Caenorhabditis elegans: one gene and its partners. The protein of the gene in region 1 purifies or fractionates together with the protein of each later gene. This does not show direct contact. Each region holds a gene or a part of one and is shown in the gene's direction. Other genes may lie near its edges. The genes, in order: tsfm-1, tufm-2 and twk-37.

Region 1 (3,762 bases):
GCGTATTTTTCAAATATTTCCTTGACAACTTTTCCAAATATTTGATCACATTTCGCTTTTGAAGTTCCATCGCCATCTGACATCAGCATCTGAAAAAGTTTAGAAGTTTATAATGTTTTAAAAAAGGTCTTCAATTTTAAATTTGAGAAATAGAAAACTAACTCCTTTGCATGACATGTACAGAATGAGAGCACACTCAAGATAAGCTCTCGCTTTTTTGTATCCTTCGGCAGTCTCTGGTAATGGAGGGCCATCCTTTTTACGAAGATAACGATATGCCCAGGTTATAAACATTTCGATAAGTTTGGATGCTTGGGATGCATCAATGATTTTCATTGGGCCAAGCAATCGGAAGTAACTCAAAAGAGCCAATCGACTTTTTCCTAACATGTAGTTGACACGAGGACGATAGTATGCTTCATCCAGACTTTTCGAGATAGGAAGACAAATATGCATAATTGGAATCAGTTGACGGCGGCAGGTCTCTACGTTTTCCAGATCGAGTTTCGCAATGGCATCATCTCGAGTAATGATATCGAACACACTGAAAATTTATTTTTTAGTTTGTTGATTTGGGTTCATTTTACCTAATAAATTTATGATTCTTCAGACGAGAAATTATTTGGTAAGCAGCAAGACGAACTCGTTCAGATTTATCCTGTAGTGCTGGATCAACGGCACATTTCAATCCATATTCGAATGCTGTGAGACATGCCGGAACAAATGCCATTTCATTAAGACCTTCAAAAACGGCGACGCGGACGCTGACAACAGTGTCTTTCGCGACTGTATCAATGATGTATCCCATGAGTTCCTTCACGATATTTTTTGGAATAAGAAGCCAGAATTCGCTGATTGCCTTCAAGACATGTTTCGTGGCTTCGCTTCGAATGGAAATAACATCACTACGTAATAAGTCCATCATATATCGATGTTGGTTTTCCATTATCCTATCCATGTCTTCAGTATCCTCGCCAATTAGTGGGTAAAAATTGAAAAATACTTCTGCAGCTGATGACTGTACAATGTAATTTGGAGCGTCCAGCGCTCGGTAAAGACATCCATTGAGAAGCCTTGTCACCATTTCATCTACACTTTTGTCCAGTTTTTTCGCGTGTGCAAATGCGGCAATCACATTTTGAAATTTAGTGCAGGTAGGCCTGTGAGCATATAATGCATGCTGACACATGACACTGATCACATCGGTCTCCAATTCCTCTGTCAAATCAAAGTTAGCCTCCTGATATGCATTTCTCCAAGCTGTGACGAATACTTCACCATACCTTTGACATTCAGTGCTGCAAAAATATATATAAATGGAATTCTTCAGCGTATAAACTTTACTCGGTGAGATTGAACTTTAGTATTAACTTCTCGAGTAGTATCAGTCCATTTCCAACACCAATTTTTGGGAGAATTTCAGCTGATAATTTTATACCTTCCGGACAAATCAACAAGGCTGGTGCGAAGAAAATACACCGAAGAGTCGATGGATTTGCATTGGCAATAATATCTTCTTGAACTGCCCACAATTTTCTGATGAATGTTTTCTGAAGAGCCCGACCTCCTTTTCCACGGAACTCTGTGAGTAACTCATTCCAGTCTTCTGATGGTTGTTTGTTAGGTGTTACCGGATTGCTCTTCGGCATTGATCTCTTTACTGAAAATTTCTATGGAATTATAGAATTTATTTCAACAAAAAAATAGCAAAAAATAATAGTATTAAAGTTTTCACCTAAAAATAATTATAAATAATCAATAAAATAATTCAATAATATAATTTACCTCGCAATTAAAAAAAAAGAAACACATTTTCCTTGTTATGTTCAAAACGAATTCTTTCGCGCGGCCGTCTTTCTCATTGGGGCGCACTTGCCTTTTCATTTTTTAATGCAAAAAATGCCCAGAAAATTGCATAATTTGCTTTATTCTCTTAAAATAATTATCAATATTGACTGAAAACTAAAGTTTCCAATTTTAGAAATGTTTGCTAGAGCTCCATTTGTACGTCTACTATCAACGACTAGTCGAAACTTGGCTGAGGCCGAAAAGAAAGTCTCTAAAGAGGTATTAAAATCTAGGAACCCTAATTAATTTTAAAAAATAAAAAATAATTGTTTTTCAGGCTCTAATGGCTCTTCGAAAAAAGACTGGTTATAGTTATGTGAATTGTCGTAAAGCACTTATTCAGTTTGGCGAAAATGATATGGATAGTGCTGTAAAATGGTTGAAAGAAGCTGCAGCGAAGGAAGGATGGGCCAAAGCGGCAAAGTAAGTGTTTATTTTGAAATTTTTTTAATTTGGAATGTTGACTTCACAAGGAATTATTTTAATAGTTATAGAATATTCCAGACTTGGAACTCGTGTAACATCGAATGGTCTTGTATCTGTAGTCACGGACAACTCAACAGCAGCTGTGGTAGAACTCAGTTGTGAAACTGATTTTGTGGCGCGATCTGGAGCTTTCAAGGATTTGTTGTCAAACATCTCCAACTCTGTTCTCGCAAAAGCTAAGCCACAATCTATATCGAGCGGCTCAAAACTTCAAGAATTCACCTATGATCTTGGGGATCTGACCGATTCCGACGGAAAAAATATGCGTGAAGTGCTCTCCCTTTCAATCGGAAAGCTTGGTGAGAACATGACAGTGAGAAGAGTTAAGGCTTTTAAAGCTCCCGAAGGAACAACTTTGTTTGGAGCTTCACATCCTAAAGATGGAACTGATGATATCCCGATGGGACGGTTCATTTCACTCATCGCTCTAAATCAATCGAGTCCAGGTGAAACAAAGAAATAAAGTAAAAAATTAAGTCTTAACATTTACAGGGTCAATCAGTAGTCAGCAACTTGCCGGACAGATATGCCAGCACATTATCGGAATGTCCCCGGAATCCCTCGGCGAAGCTGCAGAATCTGTGAAAACTCAAGAAGGGCTTCGTAGTCAAGAAGGGCATGATCCAAATGCTGATCCAGTTGTTGTAACTAATATTGATGAATCGGAAACTGCTCTTCTCCGCCAAGCCTTCATGTTGAATCCATCTCAATCTGTTCATGAGTACCTAAAATCCCACAATGCTAACATTCTCGATTTTGTTCGTGTAGAGCTTGGAAGCGAATAATTAGATAAAAGTGGTAGTAACTTTATTTTCATGCCTTATTAGTTTTTAGAATGCTTTTGTTTCTCTGTTTTGTTAATCGATAAATAAATTTATCGACATATAAATTGAATTTAAAGTTTAAAAAATAAACATTTGCAATTTTCAGAACATTCCTCCGTGGAAAACAATTGAACAAGAAGACGATTAAAATGCATTTATTTTATTTCAGAAATTCATGGTCACTCGGATTTCTGTCGAAATCAAATGTATTTTAAGGTCACAATCCGCGAAAATTTAAAACAATTGTTGTAATATAGTAAAAATACGAGAAAACTGCTGAGAACACTCAGAAAACATATATATTTTTGGGGTACTGTATTGGTACTGTAGGAGTAATTGGTGATGTAGGTGTACTGTAGTATCACTGAGCTCTTTGTTGAAACATGCGATATTGTTCTAAATTGTATCGTTCTTAGATTTGGCAATTTATCAAGACAATCTGAAACAAATATTGTTGCTGAGTCTGTTACTCTTGTTCCAAAACTGAAGGGACTATCTTGGTCATTATCATCAAGTTAGACGGTTTCAGTTCCATTGACATGGCAAAAAATACGAAAGATCACCGAACATTCCTCATAGTTTTATATTCCAGATGTTCCCATTT
Region 2 (3,880 bases), on another chromosome or scaffold:
TTTTTTGAATTTTTGAGAAATTGAAAATATTTGGTTTTCGATTTATCGAGAAATAGCTGGAATTTTTGTTAATTTTCTAATAACTTTTATTTCGATTTTTCAGTTTTTCAGACCAGGGCTGAGACATTGTTTTTGAATTTTTAAGAAAAATTTATTTTTTTTTTGGTTATTAAGACTAAAAATTCAAAAAAAAATTTCATTCTTTCTTGGTTTTTTTTTTAACAGGCATCAATTTTTTTTGGCTTTTTTTTTTGGTTTTTCGCAAATTTCAATTTTTTTATTTTGGTCAAAAACACTTTTTTTTCCAACAGCCGTGTTCTTTATCGAGATGTGAAAATTTGCGTCAAAAATACCGGCCTCAACACGACAAATTGTGAAAAATTATGCGCCTTGGAGGATTACTGTAATTTCAAACTCTAGTTCCGAAAATGTTCATCGATTTTGTTATCGTTTGTATCAGTCCGATCTGTCGAAATTTAAGTTTTTTAATTTTTTAAAAGCTTTTCTGAAGCTTTTTTCAATTAAAAAAGTACTTTTTTTTAATCGAAAACTATGAAAGTTTGAAATTACATTCATTTTTAAAGGTACACATCTTTTTTGTTTTTTATCAGAAATGTGTCGAGACCGGGTACTGTATGACTGGCGCACACAAAAACACTCAATCTTACAATTTACTTCTGGAAGCAAGTTGCGATGATTTCTGTGCTTCTGCGATGCTCTTGATATTCTTCAAAATTTGTGCTCCACGAATTTCAGAGTAATAACCCAGAAAATTATTAGGAACACGTGGCTGCTTCAGGAGCCAAACTCCAATTTTGATTATCGGTTCTTCATCGGTCATAATTTTGATTTCACTCAATCTGGGTGTCAATTCATTTTTTACAAAAGGTGCCGGATCCACGGTAATACTATTCTTCAGAAGAAAATTCTTGTAAGCTTTTTCAAGCATTGTATATCCAGTGTCCAGTGTGATTCTCATATTATCCGTTTGACTTCGATAATTTGGATGGGTTTCGAAAAATATGATTGCTTGCTGCAGACTTTCCATATTTTCGAGATAAGGGTCGAGATCGACGGACGGATTTCCACTATTTATTGCATTCTCAACAGTGCTAGTTTTTCCGTAAAATTGAAGAGTAGCGTCAATTGTATTGATGAGACGTTGGATATCTGGAAAATATCTTCTTTTTTTTAAAAGAAAACTGCCAAATTGACATACTATGCTGTTTCTTTTGCAATTTCCCGTTCGAAATATGCATCGGGAGCACATTCTTTTCAAGAGAGCTCAATCTCTGATCAAACTTTTCAACAACTTGTTCGATTCCTTGTCGTATCTGCGCGCTTTTCGCGATGTTCTTTTGAAAATTCTGTAGCCATTCTTCCTCCTGAAATGATTTAAATGATCAATCTTCTTTTTCAGCAAAAACAAACCTGAGCTAGTTTTTTGGCTATCGATTCGGCAGCATTTTGATCACTTGCCATTGGAAATATTCGAGAATTGACAGAGAAAAATGGAAAACAATAAAAATAATAAACAACCAACATGTGACCTAGTTACTTCCTAGGCCACGCGGCCGCGTACTCCTCGAGGACAAAATGAGTTGCCACGCAATTTTTGGAATTTTTTAAATTAAATTCAGGTTCCAGGTTTCTATGGTTTCAAAGTTACTAAAATTGTTATAACCGATTTTATTATAACATGAATTTCTCGGTGTTATAGGTAAAATGAACCCCGCTGCTTTGTCGGCATTCACACGATCTCTACTATTCAATCGATGCTCAACATCTTCATTTTGTAATTCAATCACACGAAATGCCGTCGCTTTCTTTGCCACTGCAGCTGCTACGCCAAAAATCAATGTAAATGTGGGAACTATTGGACACATCGATCACGGGAAAACAACTCTAACATCAGCAATCACAAGAGTTCAGGCTAAAAAAGGTTTAATTAATTTTTATATTATTCACAAATGAATTCAATTCTGCAGGTTTTGCGAAGCATATTAAATTTGACGAAATCGATAAGGGAAAAGAAGAAAAGAAACGTGGAATTACAATCAATGTCGCTCATATCGGCTATGAAAGTCCTCTGCGTCGATATTCCCACACTGATTGCCCCGGTCACTCGGATTTCATCAAAAATATGATTTGCGGAACTTCACAAATGGACGTGGCTGTTCTTGTGATTGCTGCAACCGACGGAGTCATGGAGCAAACCAAAGAACATTTGATTCTAGCCAAGCAAGTTGGTGTTAAAAATATGGCGATTTTCATCAATAAAGCGGATTTGGTTGAAGAAGATGATCTGGATTTGGTAGAAATGGAAGCACGGGAATTGTTGAGTCTGCATGGCTTTAATGGAGATGCGACTCCAGTTATTCGAGGTTCCGCTTTAAGTGCTCTAGAAGGACAAGATATTTCGTGTATCGAGAGATTGATTGATGCATTGGATTCACTTCCAGAGCCGGATAGAAATGAAAAGGATACTTTTGTAATGCCAATTGCATCGAAAACTGCTATCACTGGGCGAGGTAATTGAAAAAAGAAATATAAGGTGTGCCAATCAAGAATTTATTTTGCAAGAAAAAGTGCAAGAAATTTCAATAAATGACATTTTTTGCCACCCCTAATATTTAAAAAAAAACCAATTTAAAATGTTTTTCAGGAACAGTCATCGTCGGTACACTGGAAAGAGGTGTCTTGAAAAAAGGCGATAAAGTTGAAATCAAAGGAGACGGGCAAACTCTTCAAACGACTGCTTCGGATATCCAAGTTTTTGGCAAAAGTGTGAAGGAAGTTCGTGCTGGAGATCATTGTGGAGTTCTGTGTAGAGGAGTTAAAGGGGATACAGTGAAGAGAGGAATGTGGGCAGGACATCCAGGAGCAGTAACAATTACGAATCGAGTGAAAGTGGAACTTTATCTTCTCTCGGAGGCTGAAAATGGCAGGAAGATCGGAATTCGGACTGGTTTCACAGACAAAATGTACTGCAGTACTTGGGATCAAGTTGGTCGTTTCGATATGAGCAATGAGCTTCTGATGCCAGGAGAACATACTTCTGCTACAGTACTCTTGATGAAAGACATGCCACTCAGAAAAGGAATGCCGTTTACATTGAGAGAAGGAAGCAGTAAAACAACGATCGCTAGAGGAATCATCTCAGATCTAGAGGATCATGTGGCTGTAGAGAAACATAATCTTAAAAAGTCCGCTGAAAAGATGTAGTTCTTTATATATTACAGTATTGATTTATTTTAGGTTAGATTTTATTAGCTTGTTAACTACTATATCTTGTTTTGTTTTTGTTTTCTTTTGTCGAAATCTTCGAATAATATTTCACTACTTTTATTGTTCAAATAATACCATTCTCCTATTAATAGCAGTTTTACCTGATCTGCTCATTAATATCTTTATTTTTAATTTTCGTATTAAATAATAATTTATTTTTTAATTCCAGTTTAAAATGTCGGGGAGAGTCGACGAACAGCTCGACGACTTCCTCTGGGGAAAAACTGATGTTAAGGATTACTTGAAAAAGTAAGTCGCCAAATTTTGTGGATTTGGGTCTCGACACGACAATTTTTGTTTAATGAAAAATGGTACGCGCCTTTAAAGAGTACTGTAGCGTCGATTCTTCATAGTTTTTTGCAAAAAGTATATTCATTTATTTATTTTTTAAAAACTAAAATAGAACAACATAAACTTTAACAAATCGTAAGAAAAACTATGAAAAATCGATAAAAACTTCGCAGCATCGAAAGTTTTAAATTACAGTATTCTTTAAAGGCGCACACTTTGTCGAAAGATGGAGTACCGCCAGTAGAGAAATTTTTAAAAAACATAACTGTAGTGTTACATTATATTAATAAAAAATCAAATC
Region 3 (4,591 bases), on another chromosome or scaffold:
GTGCGCCTTCTCAAGATGAACAGGATTCATGATTACTTGCAGTTGGAGGTTTGTGAAAACTAAATTATCAGTTCATCCCTAGAAAGCAAAGAGTTCATCCCTAGAGAGCAAAGATGCGGAATTTATCTAACTCGAGGTCTTTAACACTTCATAAAGCCATAGCTTGTAGTAAATGTAGTTTGCAATCTATGACGTCATCATTACACGAACTTCAAATCGTTGTAGGGTTGGAGTAGTAGGATAGACGTAGAGAATTTTGTTTTGTTTATGTCAGTTGCGTAGGGATCCTATGACTGCAGTTAAATGGTTAACAGTTGTTTTCATTACAGAAAGAGTTCATCACTCGTCAAACAAGCCGTCATGGTCGCCCTCTTGCTGTCCAAAAACGTCGTGAACAGCAATTAGTTCAAAGTCTCCGAGGAACTCCAACCACATTGGCTCGTGTCCACGAGCTTTTCGATGATGAGAAGCATGCCGTTGTGGTCGTTGAAGGTTCGAGACGTGAATGGTACGTACCAATTCTCTCGATCGTCGACAAGGACTTGCTTCGTCTGAATGCCCTCGTCATGGTGAAGGCTGGTGGAATGTTCAAAACAGTTCCAAGTGCAATCGTTGGAGTTTTGGATGACAAGATTGACAGCAATGCGATGGGACATAAAGTTGAGAAGACACCAAAAGAGACATTCGATGACATTGGAGGATGTGAGAGTCAAATTCAAGAGCTGAAAGAGTCTGTGGAACTTCCTCTTACTCATCCAGAGTACTATGAAGAAATGGGAATCACTGCTCCGAAAGGAGTTATTCTTTACGGTGAACCTGGAACTGGAAAGACGCTTTTGGCGAAAGCAGTTGCAAACTCAACATCTGCAACATTCATCCGTGCAACTGGATCCGATCTTGTTCAGAAACAAAGTGGGGAAGGTGCTCGTCTTGTTCGTCAAATCTTCCAAATGGCAAAGGAACAGGCTCCATCGATTGTATTCATTGATGAAATTGATGCAGTTGGTACGAAAAGATTTGATACTTCTTCACGTGGAGAACAAGAAGTTCAACGAACTCTTCTTGAGCTCTTAAATCAATTGGACGGGTTTGAAAGCCGTGGAGATGTCAAAATTATCATGGCAACGAACAGAATCGACTCGCTGGATCCCGCTCTTATCCGTCCTGGACGAATTGATAGAAAGATTGAGTTACCAAAACCAGATGAGAAGACTAGACAAAAGATTTTCACGGTTAGTCAATTCAACATTTCTTAAATAATTTTTATTTTTAGATCCACACCTCTGGAATGACGATTCAGAAAGCTGTCACCTATGAGAATGTATTGGGAAAGGAGAAGAGCATTAGTGGAGCTGAAATCAAGGCGGTTTGCACGGAAGCTGGTATGCTGGCTCTTCGTGCTCAACGAAAATGTGTCGGAACGGATGACTTTGAGAAGGCTGTCAAATCGGTTATGCTGTCGAAGAAGGGCGGAGCACCAGAAGGATTCTTCTCTTGACAATCGGAAATTCAATAAAGTACAAACGAGTTTACCCTAATGAACCTTTCTTCTCTTACAATGCCAGTGCAGATGTTTTTATGAACATCTGTAGTTAATTTCTTTGGTCTTTCTATGACCATAGACTGTTTGTTTTCGTAGTTTCTTTCCCTTCCAGAGCCTCAATTTGAAGAATTATGTTAACTTGATCCGAGGCGTTTTGAATACCGATCTCGAGTATAAATATTTTATTGTTTCAATGTGTTACTGTTTAACACAAGATGAGATTTGTCGTATACACTCAAATAGATACAAAAATAAATATCCAAATTTGTTTAAAAAATTTCAAACTCATTGAGCTCGCCAAGTTTCTTGAAAAAATTGTTTACGTACAGTTTTAAAAATTATAAAATTATTAAATACCACCATAACCAAGAAACGTGATATTTTCTGAGATGGCCAAAACTATTAAAAATCGATTTTTTAAAAGTCAGTTCTAATTTTTGGAGTCAATATCGTCCCAATGGTAGCATCAAATAGAAGACAATCGAGGTTTGCAGAATCATTGTTTTCATCTAAAAAAAACTACATTTTTCAGTTCAGATTCAATACCTTCAAATCAAAAATCACACAGCTCTAACCATCACACTTCTAATAGGTGAGTATAACTACAATCCACAGAAGAAAATTAGTTTGTAACCCACATGCTCGACATTTCGCTCCGTGCGATTGAAAGCTGGGAAATCGCGAAAATCTGCGACGATCTACGATAGCATGCGAAGAAATGCGCGGAAAATTCGAAACTAGGGGTAACCCGCAAAGATGTGCGACAATGTGCGAGAAAAAGCTGAAGCAAAATGTCGAGTTTCTGTATTATCTACACCAGGAAAATATAAAGACGACAGAATAGCTGTCAAATCTTCTCAAACAATACCCACTGCTTCACCACTGTCAATCCAAACTGCAATAGTCTTTCAGCGATGGAATGCAAACTCACACGGATCGACTTATTAATAAATTTATAAAGAGGCAAATGGAAAAATCTTCACCAGAAACTCAACATCTTGTCAGAAAGCAATCTATTTTAAAATTTGTTGAACGAAAGTCTAGAGCGGAAAGACCGAAGCCAACGAAATTACGAACAATTTTGAGAAAGATTCGAAGTGAGGATTTGGTTTATATTCTGCTTAAAGTAATGTTTCAAATTTCAGAATTTAATACAATAATTGCATTTGTGGTTCTTGTTGCATATATAATTGGTGGAGCTCTCTTGTTTTGGCAGATTGAATCGAGATCTGATATGAATGTTTGTAAAGCTTTTGTTTCTGTTGCAGATATATATTCATTGATAATATTTTCAGATTAATGAGTTCAAAAGAAATATTCGTCAGAAATCAATACACATCTACAATTCAATGAAAGGTAGCAAGTGTGGAAAATTGAAAAAGGTTTGTGAAAGTATTTCTGCATCTCTTTCAATTGAGCATACCCGGAAAACGCCTCGATACAATTTTCATCTATTTCAGGCAGATAATGAGTTGAACAACAATTGTATAAAAGAAATTTTTGACCTACTCTACGCTTCAAACCCTCCAAAGCATATAGAAGAGTTTCTGGATGGGCTGGCTTATGTAATCACTTGTATTACGACAATAGGTATGACTCGGGATTAACAAGTAAAATAGTATCAAAACTGATTTCGAACATTTTGAAAAATATTTTTAAAATTTTCTCCCGAGGTGTCGTCTAATCATTCTATTTTCTATTTCAGGGTACGGCGAACTTGTCTGTCACACAATTGCCGGTAAATTGGTTACTGTAGCTTATGGTATTATAGGAATTGCTCTAACACTCTACGTACTTCGCAACAATGGAAAAATAACGTTGAAAATATGCAATTTGACACTCAAAATTTTTGCAATTTGCGTTCGAAAATGGTAATTTAACATTTAAACATAAATAACCTCTTCTCAACTTTCCATATAAAATCTTTATTTGAGTTCATTATTTAGTTTTCAGTGGCAAAAAGTCGGCAAAGTATAAGATGACAGTACTGAAAGCTTTTATTCTTCTTGTCACATTTTGGGGCTTCGGAGCACTTGCAATTGCTGTCTATGAGGAGTTTGTATTCTATGATGCCTTGTACTTTTCTTTCAGTACATTTTCAACTATTGGATTTGGAGATTTTGTTCCGTCAGGTCATATCTCTGGAACTATTATTTGTGTATTACACTTTATCGATTTATCACTGATTTCAATGGTTTTAGTTCTCGTTCATGTAAGCTGTGAAGATTCCCTTGTAAGAAACCAAGTGTCTAAAGTTTACAAATTTCAGCATTCGATGGAAAACAGATTTATGAGAGTTTTGGAGCTCTTCGATGAACGGCATGCTACCGACACTTTAGAAACAAATATGATATCACCTGGTGCTTCTCAACGGAAACTTGCTGCAACGACTACAGCGAAGGAATGATTTCGATCCAGTGATCATAATTGATATCAGATTATTCTCAAAATTTAAAATATCTCTTTGCTTATTACAATTTTTATTGATATTCTTTTTGTGGTTTAATTCTTATTCTTTTTCGTCATTAAGAGAATGAAGAAATTACAAAAAGCTTCTTTTTTTGCACAATGAAAGGAAAAAAAAACTGCCCATTTAGAGATTTAATCCGGTAAAGGCTTGACAGAGGCGCCTCACACCCGCCTTTTTATTTGACCTCCCAGCGCCGTACCTATAACCTCATGTGCAATTTCTCGTTACGGAGTTAATTTTAGTAGCGCATTCGTGAATAACCTATTTGGTAATTGAATTTTTAATCTCTCAAACAACGGTGTTTGTGGCTAGTTAAAAAAAATTTATTGTTCTTTTCTTTCTGAAAATTATTTTCCAGGAATACGTGCAGCTCACGCAAATACCGTCATTTGTGAAAACGCAATCATTAATTATCAAACAATTTATTTTCGATTATCATTTGTGAAAGTTTTCCCATGAAAACAATGAATCTCGTCTATTTGATACTTGTCTCGTTTCTACCCTCATCAGCCTTCGTCAGCTGCTCATTTACCAAGTCTGGAAAACAAATTCTTCAACAAATTTTTGAAGGCGATAAA

Evidence for each region.
Region 2: the proteins of tsfm-1 (region 1) and tufm-2 purify together in Caenorhabditis elegans (co-purification; one study listed by BioGRID). This does not show direct contact.
Region 3: the proteins of tsfm-1 (region 1) and twk-37 fractionate together in Caenorhabditis elegans (co-fractionation; one large-scale study listed by BioGRID). This does not show direct contact.

The regions. Positions count from the first base shown.
Region 1 is NC_003283.11:12,269,771-12,273,532, reverse strand, and holds tsfm-1 (Elongation factor Ts, mitochondrial), read left to right. Parts: upstream 1-1,981; 5' UTR 1,982-1,983; coding exon 1,984-2,067; intron 2,068-2,125; coding exon 2,126-2,271; intron 2,272-2,352; coding exon 2,353-2,780; intron 2,781-2,826; coding exon 2,827-3,119; 3' UTR 3,120-3,262; downstream 3,263-3,762. Other genes in the region: capg-2 (CAP-G condensin subunit), read right to left, coding at 1-89, 163-544, 588-1,298, 1,345-1,649. UniProt on the Caenorhabditis elegans protein: Associates with the EF-Tu.GDP complex and induces the exchange of GDP to GTP. It remains bound to the aminoacyl-tRNA.EF-Tu.GTP complex up to the GTP hydrolysis stage on the ribosome.
Region 2 is NC_003279.8:4,246,036-4,249,915, forward strand, and holds tufm-2 (protein-synthesizing GTPase), read left to right. Parts: upstream 1-1,717; 5' UTR 1,718-1,725; coding exon 1,726-1,942; intron 1,943-1,988; coding exon 1,989-2,531; intron 2,532-2,665; coding exon 2,666-3,225; 3' UTR 3,226-3,380; downstream 3,381-3,880. Other genes in the region: exoc-7 (Exocyst complex component 7), read right to left, coding at 669-1,170, 1,220-1,385, 1,432-1,545; cogc-5 (Conserved oligomeric Golgi complex subunit 5), read left to right, coding at 3,464-3,537.
Region 3 is NC_003279.8:6,268,920-6,273,510, reverse strand, and holds twk-37 (Potassium channel domain-containing protein), read left to right. Parts: upstream 1-1,977; 5' UTR 1,978-2,000; coding exon 2,001-2,029; intron 2,030-2,075; coding exon 2,076-2,135; intron 2,136-2,455; coding exon 2,456-2,640; intron 2,641-2,688; coding exon 2,689-2,783; intron 2,784-2,838; coding exon 2,839-2,925; intron 2,926-3,003; coding exon 3,004-3,133; intron 3,134-3,248; coding exon 3,249-3,414; intron 3,415-3,496; coding exon 3,497-3,755; intron 3,756-3,812; coding exon 3,813-3,950; 3' UTR 3,951-4,091; downstream 4,092-4,591. Other genes in the region: C10G11.8 (AAA+ ATPase domain-containing protein), read left to right, coding at 1-48, 330-1,232, 1,274-1,498; oac-9 (Nose resistant-to-fluoxetine protein N-terminal domain-containing protein), read left to right, coding at 4,478-4,591.